Linked DNA regions of Caenorhabditis elegans. The protein of the gene in region 2 interacts with the protein of the main gene of each other region in a pairwise test. Each region holds a gene or a part of one and is shown on either strand. Other genes may lie near its edges. The genes, in order: pcn-1 and cbp-2.

Region 1 (4,025 bases), on a different chromosome or scaffold from region 2:
GGCAATTCAAAGGCTGGAAATGGAATGGAAATCCGACGGACATCTTCACCCACATTCCTGCATTCCATTTCCACGTCGACCAGGATAAGCCGGTGGCTCAAGTGATGCAGTGGAATGTACACAAGATTCCAGTCTCGGCGACGAAACGGCACATGGATAAGGCTCGATTCAGTCAAGTTTGGGAGACAATCGAGAATTTTGTACGCAAGAACAAGCCACATCTCACCGCCCGTCTTGGACTCTGAAAATTCTCGGAAATTTTCTTTTTTTCTTCATTTTTTGCAAATTTATTTATTCATCACTTTTGATTTTATTAAAAATGCCATTTTTCTTCAAACAATTTTTAATCGAAAATTCAAATTTTTAGCGAAAAAATCATTTTCCACGTGGCGAAATCGTCATTTTTGGAGTGGAGAAAATTCGATTTTCAAGCGGAAAATTGCCCAATTTTCGTCAGTTTTCGTCAGCCAGGCGGCGCGGTCGCGTCGCGGCAACAAATTTTTTAATTCGTGAATTTTCAAGGTAATATTTTGGAGAAAAATTCAAATTTTCCAGTTAAACATTGTTTCGTTTTTTGGCCAAAATTGCCTTCTAGGATTTTCGAAATATTGCTCCATTGGCCACGCGGAGCGGTCGCTTCGCGGCTTTTTTTTTTTTCATGATTACTGGCTCAAAACTAGACACTTTGAATTCCCAAGTTAAATTCATTTGTCAAAATTCTTCAAAAGAGTTCGGGGAGTAGTGCGATTCAGAAAGCAGAAAGTGAGAAAAAAATTAGAGGTATAGCACAAGTATTAGAAATATACCAAAAAATTAGGTGAAAATTAGCGGGAGAGAGGGAGAGATCATGAGTAATTTAACGGAAATTGAGGGGAAATTTAGTCCATATTCTCGTCGTCGTCAATCTTTGGAGCCAAGTAGAAGCGAAGATATCCATTCTCCTCGATCGGATACTCGACAACGACCGGAACATCGTTGCACAGAGAGAGACGAACTCTGTCGGAAAGTGCCGTCGCCTTGGTGAACTGATTCATGTACTTGATCGAGAAGTTCACATTAACCGGATCCTTGACCTCCAGTGTTACAGCCTCAGTCTCATCGTCAGTGTTGGAAGATGGGGAGTAGGTGACGACAGAAGATCCGATGTCTCCCTTTCCGGTGAACACGATGCCAGCCTTGGTGGCGGTGATGTTCAACGAGTCGGAGAACGTCGACAGATCCTTGCAAGTCTTCTGGAACTCGCCGGCAGGCATCTCACAAACGACGGCGTAGTCTTGATCCGGGATCCCGAGATGTTCGCTGTCAATGTCCATCATTTTGACTGTCACGTCTTGGGTCTTGTCACGCTTTGGATCGGCGAATGTGAAGATGATCGAGTCGCCTTCGTTTTCCTCATACTGCAATGAAAATTGGTAATTTTTGGGCTTAAAATTGGAATTTTTCGGGGAAAAATCGATAAAAAATTTGAATTTTCAATGATTTTTCAGGCGGAAATGTTGTTTTCTAATGATTTTTAAGGCATAAAATGGAAAACTCGGACTATTTTGGCATAAAAATCGATAACAATTTGAGTTTCCAGTGATTTTTCGGGTGAAAAATGCTGATTTCCGCCAAAAATGTGAATTTCTAATAATTTTTAGAACGAAAAATGATTAATTCAGACTATTTCGGCCTAAAAGTCTCTAAAAATATTAATTTTCAATGATTTTTAGTGCGAAAAAAAAAACTGATTTTGCCACTTTTGACTACCGAAAAACCACATTTTCGGATTTTTCGGGCGAAAAAGTCCGAATGAAGCGATTTTTCGCATGAAAATCCACAATTCAAGGTGAAAAATGCTGATTTCTTCGATTTAAAGCTTTTACAATCACCTTCAGCATGCAGGTATCGTCGTTGTTGGCGCACTTGAGCGCCTTCGACATATTAGCCAACGAAAGTCCGAGGTTGATGGTCCGATCGCAGCGATATGTGTCGAAAAGGCCGACCTGAACACGGAAAATTAGCTAATTTTCTTCATTTTTCCCAATTTTACCTCCAACTTGAGCGAAACCAACGCGACGTGAGACGAGTCCATAGCCTGAAGGCTCATCGCCGTCTCGGAGCAATCGAATGGAGCATCGGTGACGAGATCCTTGATCGATTCGACGATCTTCTTAAGGAGTCCGGCGTTGGCGAGCTTGGCCTCAAACATTTTGACGGGAGATCTGAATAAAAATTATGAAATACAGCGAAAAATGCGGATTTTCACGGGAAAAAATGGGTTTTCCGCGGATTTTCATTGAAAAAACGAAGGAAAATTATTTTTTCACTCAGAAAAGCGAAAAAATCGCGAAAAACCACAAAAAAATAGGACGAAATGAACGGAGAAAGTGCGATGAATGAAGTTTCGCGCGCGTTTTCGAATGAAACTTCGCGCCTCAATTTACCGCATTCAAAAAGTGCGCCAGCAGTCGTCCTTTGCGCATTCTCCGTGCATTGCGTACCAGGCATTTTATTTGACGCGCAACACTTTAGAAAAGCGGTTTTTAATGGGGAAATAACGAATTTTCGAGGCAAATTGGTTGAAAAATAAAAATTTTAAATTTCAATAAAAAAATTTATAACAAAAATCGCTGGTAAATTCATGAAAACTGAGGCCTGGAGTTTGACACTGCGTACAATACATATAATTTGACGCGCAACTTATTTTGACGAATTTTATAATTAATAAATTAGATTTAAACCTTATTTTCAGACGTTTAAAGAACAAACAAATCAACTAAAACGTCATAATTTATTTTTTAGGCATGTTTGACAAAAAAACCTCGAAAAACCAATTATTCATTCACAGAAACAACAAAAACCAAGACTAGTGATTCAAAAAGGCAACCAATCGCTTAGCAACCCGAAAACACCCGAAAACGCATAGAAAAACATAAAAAAATAAATTATTCCCGCCGAAAAATCGTTCATTTTTCCCAATACGGCCACTGTTTCTTCATGTACCATGCCGGCGGTGTGTCGGGAATATTTCCGCAATGATAGCGGTAGATGAGGAGATTGTAGGAGTATTTTCTGCAAAAACCGAGCAAAATTTTTGAAATAATCGAGAAAAACCTACCCATCGGGCTCTTTGACTTGCTCAATATTGCCAATCAGGTCAAAAGCCGTCACAACATCCCCTTCCATTTGCTCATCGCCCTCGAAATACTCGCCAGTGCGGATAGTAAGCTGGAAATTTGGATTTTCATGAAAAATTCCCCCAATTTTTTCAAATTTCCCGCCAAAAATCCCTACTTTCTCATACTGAATCGTTGAATATGTGGGAAGAAGGTCATATTCACAACACATAAGCCGCAGACTTCCGTCAGAATGTTGAGTTACTCCCCCGACCCACGAGGAATTGGTGGAGCATGTCGTTGAAGTCGCTCGTTCCGGGCATTCCTGGAAAAAATTGAGAAAATGATAAATTTCATGATTTTTACTAGGATTTGCACGATTTTTCACCCTAAATTCGTCTTTTTGTGCATTTTGTGGCAAGATCTAGTGTTTTGGGGTACGGTAGCCGGTGTTTTCACAAAAACGGGGCTACAGTAAGCAAAATTAATTAAAAAATGGGCTAAATAGCTAAGAATAAATCGTTTTTCAAAACGTTCGACAATAATTTGATGAAATATCAAAAAATCAATTAGAAACGGTAAGATTTTCGCATTTTGGAGCCATTTTGCGACATTTCGTGCAATTTGGCGTCAAATCCAGTGCTTTGGGTTACTGTAGTCGGTGTTTGCACGGAAATGGAGCTACAGTACGGATATTTTTGCTAATTTTCGAAAAAAAACCGTCGTTTTTACAATTCTCGGGTTAATTTTTCGATTTTCTGTGCATTTTTTCGTAAGATATGGTTTTTGGGGTTACGGTAGTCGGCTTGTGATTGGAAATTTCTGAAATGTTTCAAAAACTAATTTAAAATATTTTTCTGTATGACAAAAATGTGTTAAAATAGGGTTTTTTTTTAGTTTTCCGGGTTTTCCAAGTTTTTCTGCAAT
Region 2 (4,231 bases):
CGAGTTGCCATTATTGCCATTAGAAAAATATATAGGATCCGAGAAAATAAAGAAAATTGGAAACTGAAAAAAACACACCAGTGATTTCTGATCCAGAGGGTGGCATTTTGATTAAATCTGTACTTCAATATGCGTAAGGATTTTCAGAGAGGCAGGTACCTGGTGCATAGCACGGCTGTGCGGCAACCGAGATTTTCGGCAACCGGCAATTGCCGAAGTTGCCGAACTTAAAAAATTTCGGCAACCAGCAATTGCCGAAGTTGCCGAACCCGAAAAATTTCGGCAACCGGCAACATTTGGTTGCCGAAAATTCGGCAACTTTTCGGCAACCGGCAACCAGGTTTCAAAATTTGTTTTGTTGAAATTATATTTTTGAGTGTTTTGGATAAAAAGTATGGTCGTTTTTTTCGTTTACAGTGAAATTTTCGAAGTTTTTAGGCTCTCTGAATGCTTTTTTCTGAGCTATAAAATGTTTGACATTGATATCGGCAGTTGTCGAAGTTGCCGAACTCAAAAAATTTCGGCAACCGGCAATTGCCGAAGTTGCCGAACCCGAAAAATTTCGGCAACCGGCAACTTTTCGGCAACCGGCAACTTGGCTGCCGGTTGCCGCACAGCCCTGGTGCATAGGTAGGAAGGCAGTTATGATGCAGCTACACCTGGCACGCACCCACAAATATTTTAGTAGTTTTTACAGCCCTAAATGATACTTTAGCATATTCAATTCAATGTATTTATTCAATGTATTCAATGTATATGCATTTCACATTTTTCACTTTTACAATTTTCGAAAGGTACATTTAATTATATATATAACAAACACCAACCGAATTCTGAAAAGTCAATTTGAAATAATCAGCATATTAATTAATATAGCTACGAAAAATTTATGTTGTTGATGCAGCACATCTTTGATTTTCCCGCATCTGAAAATAATCTATTAGAGGAACCTTCAAAAACACTGGATCCGCATTGGAATGATATCAGTTTTTGATCAAGACTTTCTGAGCAGAAGTAAGATGCGTTAAGAGTTGGAGTCAGAACTCACAGAGAATCAAGCATGGAACAACTGTGGATTCTTCATAAGTTCGGCAAATACCAATTCGAGTTCTTCCTCTGTCTTTGCAGCATTCAACTGAACATTGATATCCATTAATGGTTGTTGGCTTTGATTTTGCCTATTTGTCTCAGTTTCTTGGTTGGTTCTGTGATGAAAAATGTTATATATGGTTTGATGTTACATTTCTACCTTAACTGATGTCCACCTTCATCAATACGCATTCGAGCAAACTCATCCAACGGAGATTGGGCAGCTCCTTGATTAAGTCTTGAATTCTTTTTCTCTTGAAGCTCTTTTTGAATCTCGTAAATTTTCTCAGCCAACAAATGGTAGTAATTTTTTCGGTCTATTGCAGTTTCAAACACCTCTTTTTCGACTTTTCTGGCATAGGCATTCAAATCTTTTAACCGAATATCATTCATCATCTCTGGTGCCGGGCATATCGCTTTGACCAATTTTCCGACAATATGATTCCTGAGATCATTTGTAACTTGACGATGCCATTCCTTTGTACGAACCGGCACATTTGGCGGTGGTAAGTTTGAAATATTTCCATTTGTTATACGTCCCGCTGACATTGTCGACACCCCGATTTGATGAACTACTTCACCATCTGCACTTCCATAAGAATTTCCTTTGGTGCCTATCAGATTGGCCAGATGGGGCACTGTAAATTAACAATTATTCGAAAATGTTCTGAAGTAGGATGGATAGAACTTACATGAAAATATTAACGGGACATCGCGTGCCCTTTTGAGTGGTGTGCAGACAGGACAATCTTCCCTCGAGCAGTTTTTCCAGTGAGCTATTATTTGACGAGACGATGCACAATGAGCGACTGAACGTTTTTTTAGTTTGTGAGGTAGTAGCTGAAGCAGTGACTAGAGTGTGAAGCGAAATTTTTGGTGGAAATAGGCGCTTGTTCTTGCGAAAATGTTCGAAACTCTTTCCAGCTCGTAATAGACTTACAATGACATAAACGACCAACATTGCAGTTTGTCATGTGAATCAATACTTCCTTCATAGTTGGGCAATGGGGTAATCTACAGGTAGTATGAGGAAGTGGTTGATTCCTGGCAGCAAACTCATTATTTTCCTGGAATAGCTGATTTCGGAAACCGGAATATGCTTTAAAACATACCTTGTCACGTAGTGAACATTTGTGTGCATGGAGTAAGAGAACAAGTTGTTGCTGAACAAGCTTCTGCTTCACGGGATCTTGCTGCAGTGCAAGCATGCTTAATCCAAAAGAAGTTGCCGTCCAGAGCTGATGTTACGGCTTTTTGTTCTAAACAGATGTTATCTTACAGTTTCGATCATAATTCTTTCCACAAACAAGTTTTGTTGATAACTTTAATTGTGCTAATCCGTTATTATTTTATAAATTTCTTAAAACACGTAGAAAAATTTTTATTTGATAAAATATTTAGTGATAGTCAAAAACTAACAATTTTACACGACAGAAAATTATAAGGTTGAAAATGCGAAAATCAGTGATATTTGCTTGATTCAAAAATGAACAAAGTCCTAACGACAAAACCTAAAGAAAAACCTCCAGGTGTCAAAATTGGGTAATTTCAGCCTGACGGTTTGCCTGAAAAATTTTCAAAACGGCAAAATCTAAATGAAACTGAATCAAAATCATTCAGAAGAGATCTAAATAGTTATCCATTTTAGATTGTAACAAATGAGAGAACTGACGAATATTGTATCACAATTTGGTTTTTAATATCAGTCGTTGAGTTGTACATTTTTAACACATTTATAAATAATAGGAAAGACAGGAAAATTATACACAAAAGGCAATGTTTTGTAAGAACTATGGCCCAGCAGTGTATAAAAAATCGATAAAATTATGCTCTGAATCACTCATTTTAAGAATGAGCAAAAACGAAATGAAATGAAAGAGTTTATGTTATCAATATTTAGCATGTGATACACTGCGATTTTGAAATCAGAAAGTAACCGGAATGATAATTATCGTTTTTGCTGTTGACGCCATTGATGTACTGTGTTCAACATAGTGAAACACTATATAGAGTGTGGAAATTTATAAAACTCGGTGCGGAAAAATGCATAGATGGACTATTAATTAAATGTTGCAATTTATTCTGCCAAATTTTATTTACAGTACAAAAGACGCAGCATCAGTACTTATGGATCCATAGAATGAGAACAAAAGCAGCTCTTCAAAATTGCCACTTGTTTAAGTGAACTCTTCAATAAATTGTGGTTTATGGAAATGAATGTACTGACTTTTCCCAGCATATTATTCTTTCGAATCGTTTGAAAGGAAAATAAAATGGGAAACAGCTCGAAACATATATCACAGGTTAAGTTAGATTTTGACACCTTGACGGAAAGTTTCACTCCGGGCGAGTAGCATCAGCCAATCAAATGTGCAGACCCCGCTAATATGAAGGGTTTTACCGTGTTTTCTGGAACTTTCTCTATCTCAACACTTTCAAGTTGAAAGTTTCAACAAAAAAAACAGCACACATTCTCATGAATATTTTATTTTATTCAATTCAAATATGTGCACTCTTTTGTTCCGGATATCTACATCATCCTAGAAGAGCATGTTTTGTGTAATCATCGCAGTCACTTGATAAGGATCACAGTTTGACGACGGACGACGATCCCCCAGATATCCCTTTCCCTCCGCAGCCACCTGTCTCGGAATACGGATTGAGCATCCGCAATTGGCACGAGAAACTTGTCAGTCGAACTTGTCTCATGACGTCCTGTCAAACGACGAAGATTATCTTCTCCACCATGGATCGTGCACCTTCATCGCCTCCAAATGTGTCCGCTTGAGTTCTGTCATGGCGGCTTCAATCGGTGGACCTGGAGCACGCATTTCGGCGGTGGAGAAGTTGGTGTGGCATCCGGCTCCGTTCCAGTCTCCCATGGTGACCTTTGGTTTGGGATCAAGCGATACGCAGACACCGAATTGTTCAGCAACTCTGAAATCATTTTATTATACAACTATAAGAACAAGATTGATTTATGTACCTGTGCAGAATGTATCTCGACATCCACAACTGATCTCCCATATCGATTCCTTCGCAGGTTCCAATTTGGAATTCACATTGTCCTGGAGTCACTTCGGCATTTGTTCCGTGTTTGAGTAAAGTTGCACTGGCTTATTGAAGACGTCTTCTGGAGCTG

What was found.
Region 1: the proteins of cbp-2 (region 2) and pcn-1 interact in a two-hybrid assay, tested with the Caenorhabditis elegans proteins (2 studies listed by BioGRID).

Annotation. Positions count from the first base shown.
Region 1 is NC_003282.8:4,047,245-4,051,269, forward strand, and holds pcn-1 (Proliferating cell nuclear antigen), read right to left. Parts: upstream 2,205-4,025; 5' UTR 2,192-2,204; coding exon 2,033-2,191; intron 1,986-2,032; coding exon 1,872-1,985; intron 1,398-1,871; coding exon 879-1,397; 3' UTR 693-878; downstream 1-692. Other genes in the region: cdc-73 (Cell division cycle protein 73), read left to right, coding at 1-245; wrt-5 (Warthog protein 5), read right to left, coding at 2,949-3,054, 3,101-3,210, 3,277-3,423. UniProt on the Caenorhabditis elegans protein: This protein is an auxiliary protein of DNA polymerase delta and is involved in the control of eukaryotic DNA replication by increasing the polymerase's processibility during elongation of the leading strand.
Region 2 is NC_003281.10:9,921,291-9,925,521, reverse strand, and holds cbp-2 (histone acetyltransferase), read right to left. Parts: upstream 2,349-4,231; 5' UTR 2,298-2,348; coding exon 2,202-2,297; intron 2,157-2,201; coding exon 2,030-2,156; intron 1,899-2,029; coding exon 1,782-1,898; intron 1,728-1,781; coding exon 1,250-1,727; intron 1,206-1,249; coding exon 1,055-1,205; 3' UTR 1,049-1,054; intron 927-1,048; 3' UTR 722-926; downstream 1-721.